2 linked regions of the Schizosaccharomyces pombe genome follow. Changing the gene in region 1 together with any one later gene gives a genetic interaction. Each region holds a gene or a part of one and is shown in the gene's direction. Other genes may lie near its edges.

Region 1 (7,814 bases):
ATTTGAAAATTTAGCACAACAGTATTTTACCGATGGTGTAGAGATGCGCAGTGTTCGTAAATCCTCTGATTTACGTCGCAGCTTGAGTGCAGCCAGCCTTTCTAGTCTTTCAGATAGCTCTAGAAGAAGTTCATCAGCGGCGAATCCTTTTCAGAGCATGAGCATCACGGAATTTGCAGAAATGTTGACGAATATATATTTTTCATCATTGGAATGTCTGCGTCGCATTCGCAGCCAAATAAAAGTTTTAATAGATATTTTATCGAAAAAAGATACTAAACAATATCACCTATCTGTGATTCTTAATGATTTAATGGCCACGAGTTCCGATGTTGTTACACAACAAGTGACAACTATTAATAATCTTCGATTTCGAGTCTTGGATACTTATCCTCCTAATAATGTTATATACCTTTTTTCTTTACACATAATTTTTCATAATGAGCTTGAAAGTCTTTGCGGAATCACACAAAGCTCATTTATTCCAACTATAATGAGGCAATTACTGGACTGGTTTAAAAATTTTCAACGATATTCTACTCAGAAATTGGCATCAAGCTTTGAAAGGGAGCTATGGGAAGCGATACCTGTTGAACCATCCTGTCAAGATCTAGCTAATCGCGTGTTTGAATGCTCCGGTAATACTCCCGTAGAATGGACGCGACTATTATCTCCTGAAGCAGAAAAAGAAGATGAAAATCATAGGGTTCACCATGTAAAAGTTTCAGAGGACTGTACTGCTACGGTTTCGTTTGGAAAACAATCATTACATATTGTTCGGTCCTCTGTTACGTTGTTAGAAACATTGGATGATTATGGTAAACTTCTTGCTCACTTTTCAAGATTGGCTCCAGAGTTTCAGACTGGTATGCTAGATATGTTTCGTACACTCAATTCTCGGGTTTATCAATTAATATTGGGAGCGGGGACAGTGCGGTCGTCTGGCCTTAGTAAAGTACTTGGGAAGCATATTGCACTTGCCTCTCAAACTATCGCATTGTTTCAATTATCCCTTAATTCAATGTGCAGGTACTTGTCAAGAGTAACAGGAACTCGACTCACCAATGAAACTAATAAGTTGGATCAAGATTTCACCGTTCATCACTTACAAATTCATGATAAGTTTGTTAGTCTCATGAGGGAACGAGTTGCTATCAGTTGTTCCCAGATTGCTTCTCTTTCGTGGGATATTGACAGTCCTCATGGATACATTATTGATCTTTCAAAAAGTCTTATAAAGCTCTACAAAGTTTTACATCGCTACTCACAACGTGACTGTGTAGAAGTAATACCAGATGTAATTCGGATGTTCGAAGATAGACTGCAGTTGGAACTTACGGATATTGCAAGAAATCCATCCAAATGGCCAGGCGTTCGTATTGATTTGTCCTATTTTTATGACATGATGGCATCTAAATGCGGATATGCAGGAGACCGGACTTTATTGGAAAAATTTGAACGTACTCCGGAACAGCAGGAAGCGGCTTAAACATTTGTTTCGTCGTTTTTTGTAATCTATTTTAGTTCTTTTCTTGACAGGTATTTTGGTTATCTGCTTTTGTGCTCGAGTTACCGTCATATTCTTTGGAATTTTACATTTTGGTTTAACAATTTACTAACCTGAATGAATTCTAAGAATCCAAAAATTTTGTTGCAAGTTATGAACCAAGCAGCTTCTCTATAAAATTCTCCATTCTATCGATAGTTCTAGTATTCACAATGACGAATACAAATTCACTTATGACTACTAATCGGCCAGTTTTGATTTAGAGTATTACTCATTTAATTCGGAAATCTCATGGGAGCGTAATGTTTTCGACCGATTTAATTTCTTTTCATCTTCTCTCATTTATTATTGTTTTTATCACCTTTATTCAATTCCTTATGAAAATACTCATAATTGATTTAAGTGTATCAGTCAAATTCCTTGCTATATTGAGTAACTTGTTACTTTGGTAGTAATAGATTAGATATATTGGCTTGCACCTAAAGCCTGAAGTAACCTTTTCAATCTTTTGGTACAATGAAATTAGGCAGATTTTTAGAAAACGGAAGGGAGCAAATACGAAATCTCCTCTTAAATGCTTCGACTGTATCGTCTGCCCCGTCTTTTAGCTTTGTTAGTGGAAATGAATCAGCAGGTACATTAGTCGTAATAGACGAGAATTAACAATTCGTCTTAGATCTTGACAGTTGCGCTAGTTCAATCGTATATGCGTATTGCCTGCAAAGAAAACAGCTGGGTAGGATTGTAGTACCTTTTTTTAACATTCCTCGAAAGGAGCTACGTCTTAGGCCTGAACTGTCTTATTTGTTGAACTTAGCATCAATATCTTCCGATGATATTGTCTTTTTAGATGATATTGTAAAATTACCAAAAAGAATATTCAGTAATCCTATTTATTTAGTTGATCACAATTCTTTGGACCGTAAAGACCTAGAAAATTTCAACGGCAGTATCGCTGGTATTATAGATCACCACAAAGATGAAGGGGGATCCTTACATGCTGATCCAAGAATCATTGAGGAATGCGGTAGCTGCTGTACTTTAGTTTGCCGATATTTTATGCCTGTCATTAGATCTCTATATGATTCCAAAGTATCTGAACTTCACCAAACAGCAACCAACCTTGCTGTTTTGGCACTTGGCCCTATTTTAATTGATACTGGAAATTTAAAAAATGAAAAGACTACTGATACCGATGTTAAAATAGTAAATGACTTATGCTCATTTGTGCCAAAAGATTGGGTTCGAGATGAGTTTTTTGATACTCTGAAAGAGAAAAAGAAGAGCTGTAAGGGTTTTTCTTTTGATGATCTACTACGCAGGGATTTAAAACAGTATTTTCCGGACGGAATAGTCGTCAATTATGCCAGTGTTGGAAAGGGATTAGATTGGATCAAGAAAAAACGTCTCGGATGGGAAGATGAATTGAAAAGTTTTGCCGAAGTGCAAAATTCTGATTTGGTAATTGTTGGGTTATCTCTGAGTAAGAACGACGAGTTTGGTCGTCAATTGATTTTATACAAGCGTACTGAAAGGGGAGCTGGTCTTGCCGATTCTTTCTTAAAACTTAGCAAACAAAATTTAGGATTAGAAATTATTGAAGAGAAAGATAATGGCGACCTCAGTATGTGGAATCAAAGAAATTCCGCTGCTAGCAGAAAGAAAGTAGTTCCCTTACTTATGGACTCAGTTAAACAAGTCGCTTCAAAATAGTTACTGCTTTAGACTCCATTGTGATTTCTGTTCTGTACATTTTACGATAGCTACACTCATCAGTAGGCTTATGATAGATTTTAAATTTTTTTAAAAGGATATATATTATACATCACATTGATCTAAATTTCTTACTTTGTAATCCCAAGATCCTTTTATTCAAAAAAATCACTGTCATCTGATTGATTATTTTGTAGTTCATCGTGGTAAATAGACTTGTTTGAAGAACTCTCTTCTTTTAATCGGTCGATTGCTGAACTCTTGAGCAACCGAAATTCTAGGAGTGAAGTTTCAAAATCATCTTTATTACCTAAATCAGCAAATCCGATAATCTTATCCACGAGCTGAGAATTTACGTAGCAAAGTACGGCTGGTAATACTTTGAGACCCAATTTGACTACCAAAAATGGAGCGTTGGCTGCTTCAATACGGATAAACTTAGTTTCCCAATGTACTTTGGCAATTTTCTGAGAATGTTAGCGTAAGCAATAAATGGAACTCCTCGTACCTCTAGATGAGAGTCTATAATTTTGCAACGTATAAAATCAGGGTGGTAAAAATGTATAACAACTTTTTTTGATGAACTAAAAAATAATTAGTTTAAAATAATCGAAGCTAATGTTTTGACATACAGCGTAAAATCCATAACTTCGCGCTCATTTTCTACAGTAAGAAACTGCATGTGTCCTTTTTCTTTTGCAGCTTCCACTCTAGCGAATCTGAACGGTTAAATTCTTAAAATCATTTTAAAGCTTTTTCTTACTCTTTTTTTAGCATCTCCAATCTCTGTTCTCGATAAGCAGTATCATCAAATTCATCCAACTGTGAAAAGAGCGCATCTTCCAATTCTGAATCACTTTCGGTTGCAGCTTGAGTAGCATACGTATCAGCGTAAAGATCAACTGTTGGGTCGTTACTAATGTCAACATTAGACATAATATGTACGCTACTGTAACCTACCTATTATGCAGTTCTGGTTCATTGTAATCCTGAGTATCCTCCTTTCTTTCAGTAACCTTCAAAGCTTCATACTCGTTGGCGATTTCCTTTTCCAAAGGAGATTTCATAGAAATCCAAGCAGGCTTGTTTTCTACAGGCTGAACGTTTGTCAAATCCATTTGATAACCACGTTTACGCGGCCCAAATCCATGGGATGCTGGAAAAGATGTCATATAAATTTCTTCAAATTTTCTAACATCTTCATCAAAGTTTCCCTCTTGTATGGAGGCGCGGATTCCTTGAAAAAAGGCAGTGAAGGCATAAACATTGTGTCTACAAATCGTTAGCTTTCTTTACCATGCTCTTTAATATAAACATACAGCTGTAAAAGTATCCAAGCAACTAGCTCTCTAGCCTGTAACAGATGCCTAACATAAGCGCGTTTGTATCTACGACATGTTTTGCAAACGCAGCCGGATTGCAATGGTTCCATGTCAGTAGCAAACCTTTCGTCCCACATATCCAAGCCAAGTTCAATTTTAGAATTCAACACATCTTTAGAAGGAGGCGGGAAAGAGAATGTAAGTGCAACACCAGCATCAGTAGCTTGTGTTATCATATCTGGAACAATAATGTCAATTCCTCTTTGAATGCATTTCAGAATTTCGAGTGGTGATTCAAATTTTTGAATACTCAGTCTTGGGAGACCAACCAAATCAGCTGGTAATGGATTGACATTGTTAGAAAATGCCAAGCCAGCAATGTTGTTAGCAAGTTGATTTTCTTGAAAAAACTGGAAAATAGGCGTAAGGTACTGAGTGTCCAGATCAGGAACAGGGAAAAATACTTTAGTAGTATTGAAAGCGTCCGTCGCTTTGAGTGCTAAAAGCAACTCAGTTGTCCAATTGACAGACCGTTCCACAATTTTTGGCTTCCTTTTGACACCAGGAGGACTAGTTGGGGTATCATTTAAAGGAATTACTAATTCAGGACAAAGCTTTAGGACAGCTTTAATATACAAGTCATTTGTCAGTTTCTTTGCACCACTTGCAGTAACGATATTAATATGACTTTGTCCTGCAGAAACAGATGGCAAAGGAGATGTTCTTCTTGGAGCAAGTAAAGTAGGTTGGACAGAGGGTGCTGCGATCCATTTTTTGATAGTTCCCTCATTAGTCAAGATTGGTGAGGCTTCCAGACGATCCAAGCTACAAACATATTAGTTAGAAATTCAAATTAAAAAAGATATGATAAAGCATTTGAGTCCTAAATTTAAACCTTACCAATCCTCCAACCCTACATAGAGAGCAGGAATATCGAATTCTTCAACATTGTCAGGTGTCAAATGAGGAACAGTTCCTCTGGAAGTAGGAAGGAAAAAGCAAGGAGTCTTCAGAACCTTGTTCTTCACCGTAACTGAAGATACGCGAGCCCCTGAAGGACTAGATAATGAAGAAATTGCCATCAATAAATCGCAAAATAAAGCTGCAAAAGTTTTGCTCTATTTACACATGTACGATATCAAAATAACGATGGTTCACTGTAGCACATTAAACGAATATTGCTATATGAATGTTTTTTAAATTTGAAAGATATTCAAACACAAAAGGTCGTCTAAACATTCGATTTATAATGTTGTAAAATAGCTTTGTTTGGATATCAGTAGTCTTACAAAACTGAAAGTTTTTAGTTAAGTAAAAAAAAAAATATCATTACATAAATTATAGTAAATTGTTTAGACTTTTTTTAAAGTTTTAAAGTAATAATAAAACATGCAAACAAGAAAGAAACAATGGAATAAAAACATTAATAACGGATAATTTTGCGACGGCGGAAGTCCTTTTCATCTGAAGCGATGTCATATAACGCTCTTCGTTTCATTTCTTTTTTCTCTTTTGTTCTTCGTTTCATTTGCTCCATCTCTTTCCTGGTATATCGCTTGTTTCTCCGTTCTGCCAGTAAACTTTGGCCATTGTGACTATTCAATGAAGAATTGATGTCAAAGTACTGTTCCATATGCTTATGTGCTTTGTTTTCTTCACTTCGCAACTCTGGTGAAGCCCATTTTGGCATAAACTTTCCAGATAGGCGATTGAACTGAACTTTCGCTGTGTAATCTAGGGGACTAGTCTGCTCTTCATCTTCTAACGGATTATTCCAGCTCGTCGTATTTGTTAAAGTGTCCCAAAAATAGTAAGCCTGTTGAGAAGGGTCCCAAATAGCGGCTATCCGATGACCCTCGGACCAAGCAATGGAAGGCTGTGCTTGGTTTTCATTTGTAGGGGAGTTAGAAGTATCATTTTTTGATGTTTCGGAAACTGTTTCGTCAGATAAAGGAGATTCTTTATGGCAATTTGTTTCAGGAACTGGTTCATTTGGTAAAGGTGGCTCCCCTGGTAATGGTTCCTCAGGAACTGGTTCATCTGGTAAAGGTGGTTCCCCTGGTAATGGTTCCTCAGGAACTGGTTCATTTGGTAAAGGCGGCTCCCTTGGCAATGGTTCCTCAGGAACTAACTCATTTAACAAGGGCTTTGATGCTTCAGAGGTTGGTTCATTTTTAGAAATACTCTCCAGATTTTCATATGTTTGAGTTGATTCAAAAGTGTTTTTAGGAGTATTTTCAGAAATAAATGAATTATCGGCATCCTCTCCAACTTGGGTATAATGTTTTCCTTGAATATTGGAGTTTTCGCTATTAGAACTGCTCGTATTCGATGAAATAAAGTCACCACTGTTCACGTTTGATGCAGGAATTGTTTGATCGACATTGCTAGTAGCTTTGCAATCTTTAGAAGACGACATTTTTTTATCAGTATGAAGAAATAATTATTATACAAAATACCGGGGACATTCAATTGCACATAACAAATAAATGGGATTTACAGCACAAAAAATAAGTACTGGAATGTAATCTAAATGGCTGAATTAAAGTAATTACAAGCAACACTATATGTTGCTGCTCTGGCGCAAGTTAACAACAAAAATTAATATTTCTGAATAACGTATCTTTGCGAAATACCACGAGTTCTAACTATATCTACTTTAAATGGATTAAGGCTCCACAGTGCGATTCAATATAACATTAATTAAAATGCACTTGGCCTGTTCATTGATGGCCAAAAAATTAAATATAATTTGGTGAATTTAACTCCTATATAAAAGTTTTGTTTTTTCAAGCCTAAGGATATCGTTGAAGCTATTGCTGTGGATTACCGATGTTAGACTAAATAATAGTTGACACCAATTCGATTTATTAACAGTTTATAAACTTTCTCCCTACATAGTCTTCTTTCTTCGATAATTACTTTAACACATATAAAATGGAATTGTAAATATACTAAACGAAACGATAAGACATAGCCAAACTATGAAGGAATTATGCATATAGCATTTGAATAAATTAAATACTGAAAGCTAAAAGAGCTGCTATAGAGTACAAACTCAGATTCTTATATCGCACCTGTGATGAATAAATGTTTGAAGAAGCGATTTTTATTAACGAAAATATAACATAATAAAAGAGCTTATTTTTTTTGCTTTGCTTTAAGATATTAGAAGTACTCTACTTTTACCCCATATTAAATGTTGAATAAGAAGATATGGTTTTCGCATTTGAAAGCACAACGTCCATGTCTTTTCGATTAAGATTCATTAA
Region 2 (5,828 bases), 2.3 Mb from region 1:
TTTCATTTTTTTCAACTTTAGTTTTCATCTTTTTTGCTTTTTTGAAGGGTTTCCTTCTTCAGAACTAATATCTCCTTCTGTAACACCTTGATAAATGGGAGTTGGCTGAGTTTCCGAGTACATTTTCGTGAACATAGGATTTGATTTTGCAACGTCAGCATATTTGAGAAGGGCCTCACGAGGATCTTCATTAAGCATGGTTGCCAAAGGAATGTCATCGACAGAGTTTTCTTCTAGCAAGCGACCAACTTGAGGCTGCCGAGAAAGCTTAGGATCTTTGCGTACTGCATTGCGCCGACGCCGTGCTTCCAAAAAATAAGCTGATGCGGATTCAGTCGTTTCCTCTACAAGCCCAAAATCAGAAGTTCCAGCGGATCCACTCAATGAGTTTATATGCACAGTGCTAGATAAGTCGTCATCAATATGCTTCGACTTAGGAGGGCGCATTGCTGCATCCTTAACTCCTCGTATGGACTCATTAGGCGAAAAGAGAACATATGCGTTGCCATCAGCCGACCCCAAAGAAACCTGATTTATTTTTTCGTTCCAAGAGACAGCTGAAACGGAAGCAGTAACCGTCGACTTGGAATCGAAGAATAACGTAGCTTTCGTATCTAATGTCATTGCGTCTAAAACGAATAAAGGTGCTTTCATGCTATTGACAGCTGTAGAACCAGCAAGTATAAGCTTTTGGGTAGGAGAAAATATTGCGTTGCCTCCAGCTTTAGGAGTTAAAATGTCTATACGCTCATTCACACATTTATTAGAATTTCGCAAGTCCCAAACACGAAGGGCATTGTCTTCTCCTCTACTTAACAAATAATTTCCGTCCTGTGAAAAACTAAGACAGGAAATACCTTGTTGTGGTAAATGTGCATCCTTAATTTTCATAACAGGTCGTTTAGTACGAGAACCCTTTTGCCAAAATTGTATGGATCCATCCAGTACAGCAGTTGCAAAATTATCGGGTTTTGCTGGATTCCAAGCACAACTTGTAACTGGTATACGAGACAGTCCGGTGTGAGAACCTTCTGGTACATGGACGAAAACTTCCAATTGCGATTTTGTGCGATTAACATCCCAAATACGCGCAGTACTATCATACCCAGTAGTTAAAAATATTTGAGAGCTATCAGGCTGCCAGCAGCCATCAGTAATTTCAGCTATATGTCCTTTTGTATTGTACATGTTACGGATATATTGATCTCCCTTACTAAACCGTACAATCAACGAGCCATCACGGTCATATAAAATCGGCTGAGAATGGGTATACAATGCAAGGATTTGGTTTTTAGTAGAGCAACTTAATTTGCTCACTGGATAACGACCAACATTGTCAGCATTTGTGTCTGTAGGATCGATAATTTTGAAAGGATGAGGATTAGTAGCAGACAAGCCATTTAAGTCCCAACAATGGATTGTGTTGTCCAAAGATCCGGTGTAAAAACGTGACCCATTTTTGTCAAACGTAGTAGTGGTAACAATCTTACCAAAAATTAGTAAAAATGTAGTAAAAGCAGAAAACTACAAAATCAACTTACCTTAGAATGTCCCGGAAACATAATTTCATGCGAACCTGGTACGCCAACGTCCGTAATGTCGTCCTCATTCTCTTCGCTATCCCAATCCTCAGAGTCTGAGGATTGTAAAGTAGTACTCTTTGAGTTGAGTTTTGATTCGGATTCTTTTTCTACACTGTTTATCAAAAAGCTTTCTTTCGGTCTTATGAATCTTGCAATTAACGCATTTATATCGTATGTTTGTGCTTGCTTGCCAAACTGTAAGGGAATTGTATTATTTGTGCCATCCATTTACGAAAATCTGGATATTGTAAAATTTTAGAGGCTGATATATTGTTTCCCTATTATTTTTTTCAAATAGCCATTTAACTAACTGACAACAAGTTGTTCAAAATATTTTGTAACGAAAAGTGCAGGGTGAGAAGTTTCAATTACTGAGTTGTGGGGTGTGGCAGCACTACGTACTTCATTCTACCCAAGTTAGCGATTTAGGCTTTGCTAATTGATTTATCTCCTAAGAAGATTACATTGAAGCTTACGAGGAGTACATATTTTCGTTGCCGCTCTAAAAATAAAGATTTATAGCAGTGTGCATATTCTTTTTCTTCAACACACAGTGATGCCGAATCATTTGAATTTCACGGGGTTGATCGATTTTACCTACAAGTTGCATTAAAAAAAACTGATAAGATTATAATTGCTTTGGGATTTAATAAAGGTTTATGCTTTGTGTTGTATGAATCTGCATGGACTAGAATGTAAGTGAAAATTTCGGTTTATAGAATATATGTTAACGTCTACACGTTTCTAGTACCAGGAAGGGATCAGAGGTTAAGCCCTGAGGTTATTGACCTAACCGAAGATATAGAAGATGACGGTGCGGATGTTTCAGAAGTTACTTTGCTAGATTTAACGAGAATACCAGAGTTCCAGCCTCGTCGAAGGATTCGTACAAGCCGTAACCACCTTGACGCTAATCTTTCTAATGTTCCAACTATTAATTCTATTCCTTCTCCAGTCACTCGACCTCCCGTGGCTGTTGGAGGGGGGATATTCTATGGTGCACGAAGGACTAGAAACAGGTCTCAAACCCAACGGAGAACCCTTCTTGAAAATGGGTTTCGAAATTCAAGAAAAAAAGCTCAGGATTCATCAAATTCTATCGCCGAAAGGGTATCTCCTCCACCTGGGTTTTGTTATGATGTCCATCCTCATAATAATATTGCATGCGCAAAATGTGGAAATGAGTTAGTAAGTGATGAGAAAAAATCCATTTTTGCTGCAAAGTGTGGACACTTATTTTGTTCTACTTGTGCAAAAGAGTTACGCAAGAAGACTGTGCCTTGTCCGGTGCAACATTGTAGAAAGCGTATAACCAAAAAATTTATATTTCCTTTATATTTATAATTTATCGATTGGATACTAAGTGTTATCCATAGAGGATATTTGGCGGTTAAGTAATACGCTGGCGATTTTTTGGAACGTTTTGTTTTGCTTTAATAACCAGTAATGGTTTTAAAGGATACGAGTTTTTGTAATGCTTATAAGAACTAAGGTGCTCTATTATCCTCAATGAAAAGATTTATTCATTATTGACGATTATTTCCCCTTTTTTCAATTATTTATTCCCGTCTTCGAGGCTATCACACAAAAACAATTGCTTTTCTTTCTATATTGATTCATCATTTTTCGTACAAGGGAAATTAATTAGAGCTTTTCTTACCCTAAAACCTTCTACAAAAAACAAATCTGGATTCAATCTTTTCAATACACTATTTAGATGAGTATTATTTGGGATACTAGGAATTCTCGTAATGTTCAATTTCATGTTGAATTTATTTATTTACTGCAAATTAAAATATTCTTCAGCTAAAAATCTTAGTATATTCAAGGGAGTTTCCTGAAAGAGTTTTTTCTGAATTTCAAATATACAGTAATGTTTGTTTATAATTTACAGTATCTAATCGATTCAAGTATTTAAACATTGTATATATAATATATATATACTGCTTAACGTACTAAACCCACAGTGTGCTACATTACGTTACTCATTGCAGCAAAGATTATGAGCAGTTGATTCAAGTGCTAACCATGTTCCAAGTGTAAAAACAGAGACTTTGCTAGGCAATTTAGGGAAAGAGATACGTTAGCAGTGATTTGACACGCTCATTAATATCATAGTATCACTTTTCCGTTTCGGTCATTCTAGAGTTTTATTTTAAAAAAGCCGAGTTTCGTTGATTCTTGCTTTTGTGCTGTACTTGCACAGGGCGTTATGGAATCGACATTCCATTCAGATACTCTCGATTCTTTTCCAAATTATCAGGAAAATAGTTTAAACACTAATGAGGAACAGACCAATCCCTTAGAATCGTTAAGGGATGGATGGGCTTCGTCAAACAGTTCGTCTTCGTCGAGTCTTCTTCTTCCAGACGAAAATGAGGGAAATGAAGTCTTTGGAAGCTTAAAAGGGCTAGTTACCCAGTCAAAATTTGGTCAATGGGCTAACAAATTAAGCAAGTCTTTGCAAGCAAGAAGACGAAAGTCTGAATCAATCTCAAAACCCCGAGTTTACTATTCAGTGTTCATGGCTCCTTCTTGGGTTTTGCATGCAGAAAAGCATTGGGAGGAATACCCCCATTACGCTGGATATGATTATAAAGACTACGTTCGACTCCTTGATGCTACAAAGGAAGCAATCGCCCACGGCGTTTTCCCGGTCCTTATTTCCAAGGGGTCCTCTGGATCTTATTTTGTGAAAAATAAAGTCCAAAAAAATATAGCTGTATTTAAACCCAAAGATGAAGAACCGTATGGAAAGCTAAATCCTAAATGGACGAAATGGTTCCATCGAAATTTATTTCCTTGCTTTTTTGGGAGAAGTTGTCTAATTCCGAATACTTCGTATCTTTCAGAAGCCGCTGCTTGTGTTCTAGATAGAGGTCTGGGTTTGTATTTAGTTCCATACACGTCTGTTGCATCAATTTCTTCTCCAACCTTCAATTATGATTATTTTGCACGAAAAGCTTTTCTGACAAGGAATAAGCCTCTTCCTGAAAAGACTGGATCTTTTCAGCAGTTTCTTGATGGTTTCGTCGTTGCATCCAAGTTTTTTGCTCAACATCCCTGGCCTGGTACTCGACATAGAGAAACCCGAGAGTACACGGAGTCTGTAGCTTCCAGCGAGGACTTCGACATTTTCGATCCTTTCTTAGCTGAGAACGAAATTGAGACCGAATTTTGGACCGAAGAATTACGCCTTAAATTCCGGTTTGAATTTGAAAAACTTGTTTTGCTCGATTATTTAATGCGTAATACAGATCGTAATTTGGATAACTGGATGATCAAGATTTGTTACGAACCCTGTGATAATGAAGAATATTATAAATCAATTAATCTTTTATCTACGAATTTAACACCTAATATGTCTGCGAACTCGGTAGACCCTGCTATTTCCCAAACGTCGGATTTTTGGAAGGGACCACATTTTCAAATAGGAGCGATAGATAATTCGTTAGCATTCCCTTATAAACATCCGGATTCTTGGAGGTCCTTTCCTTATGGTTGGCTCTCTTTACCACGCTCCTTATTTACGCAACCTTTTACAGAGTTTACCAGGCAACTCTTTTTACACAAGTTGACTAGCCGAGAATGGTGGGAAAAACTAAGTGATGATTTACGAAACGTATTCAATCAAGATTTAGATTTCGATGAGAAAATGTTTTCGCGGCAACTTTCACTTGTAAAAGGGCAAGCCTACAATATTGTTGAAGTTTTAAAGAATCCCCTCATGAATATTTATGATTTACTTGAGCTCCCTAATTTATATGTTGTTGAGGATGTTGTTCGTATCGAAGTAAATGAGCCAACGTCTGCGAATTCTGAAGAAGCAGAATTTGGTTTACCAATTAAACGAGATTATGGGAGTATTTTGCACCCTTCATGTTCACAAACTTTCCCTCCTTATCCAGGAAGCCAATTATTACAAGCGACACCCGGTCGGTCTTTTTCGTCAAATGCTGAAGCACTTCTGCCGTTAAATTATATTACCCTGTTGTCCAAAGATAGTTCATCTCCAAAAATGTTAAAGGATGTAATTTTTGAAAGACTCCAGTGTGCTTCTTCCAATGCGGTCTTTAGCACGTGTTAATATAAGTCTTGTGTAATAGTATGCTACTATTTCCGAGGATTAAGTCTTTGAAGGTATCATATGTTATTTTCTCGCCTGTTCTTTCTAAGTTCCTTGTTAATTTAATTTTTCCATCATTTTATTGCTACTTCATTCTATTTTATTAATATTAGTTTGAT

Evidence for each region. A genetic interaction does not mean that the proteins touch.
Region 2: mutations in ppx1 (region 1) and rfp2 together harm fitness less than expected from each alone (positive genetic interaction), as found in Schizosaccharomyces pombe (one large-scale study listed by BioGRID).

The regions. Positions count from the first base shown.
Region 1 is NC_003424.3:3,944,555-3,952,368, forward strand, and holds ppx1 (exopolyphosphatase), read left to right. Parts: upstream 1-2,000; 5' UTR 2,001-2,023; coding exon 2,024-2,141; exon of another isoform or gene 2,142-2,183; coding exon 2,184-3,220; 3' UTR 3,221-3,375; downstream 3,376-7,814. Other genes in the region: GARP complex subunit Vps54, read left to right, coding at 1-1,489; plp1 (thioredoxin domain-containing protein), read right to left, coding at 3,376-3,687, 3,729-3,804, 3,853-3,939, 3,984-4,136, 4,181-4,392; qtr2 (queuine tRNA-ribosyltransferase accessory subunit Qtrtd1/Qtr2), read right to left, coding at 4,503-5,367, 5,443-5,624; splicing-associated factor Saf2, read right to left, coding at 5,966-6,961.
Region 2 is NC_003424.3:1,678,158-1,683,985, forward strand, and holds rfp2 (SUMO-targeted ubiquitin-protein ligase subunit Rfp2), read left to right. Parts: upstream 1-2,010; 5' UTR 2,011-2,256; coding exon 2,257-2,278; intron 2,279-2,331; coding exon 2,332-2,927; 3' UTR 2,928-3,314; downstream 3,315-5,828. Other genes in the region: wdr70 (WD repeat-containing protein), read right to left, coding at 25-1,485, 1,542-1,811; 1-phosphatidylinositol 4-kinase Lsb6, read left to right, coding at 3,796-5,670. UniProt on the Schizosaccharomyces pombe protein: Mediates ubiquitination and subsequent desumoylation/degradation of sumoylated proteins and proteins containing SUMO-like domains. Involved in maintaining genome stability where it acts in the cellular response to DNA damage.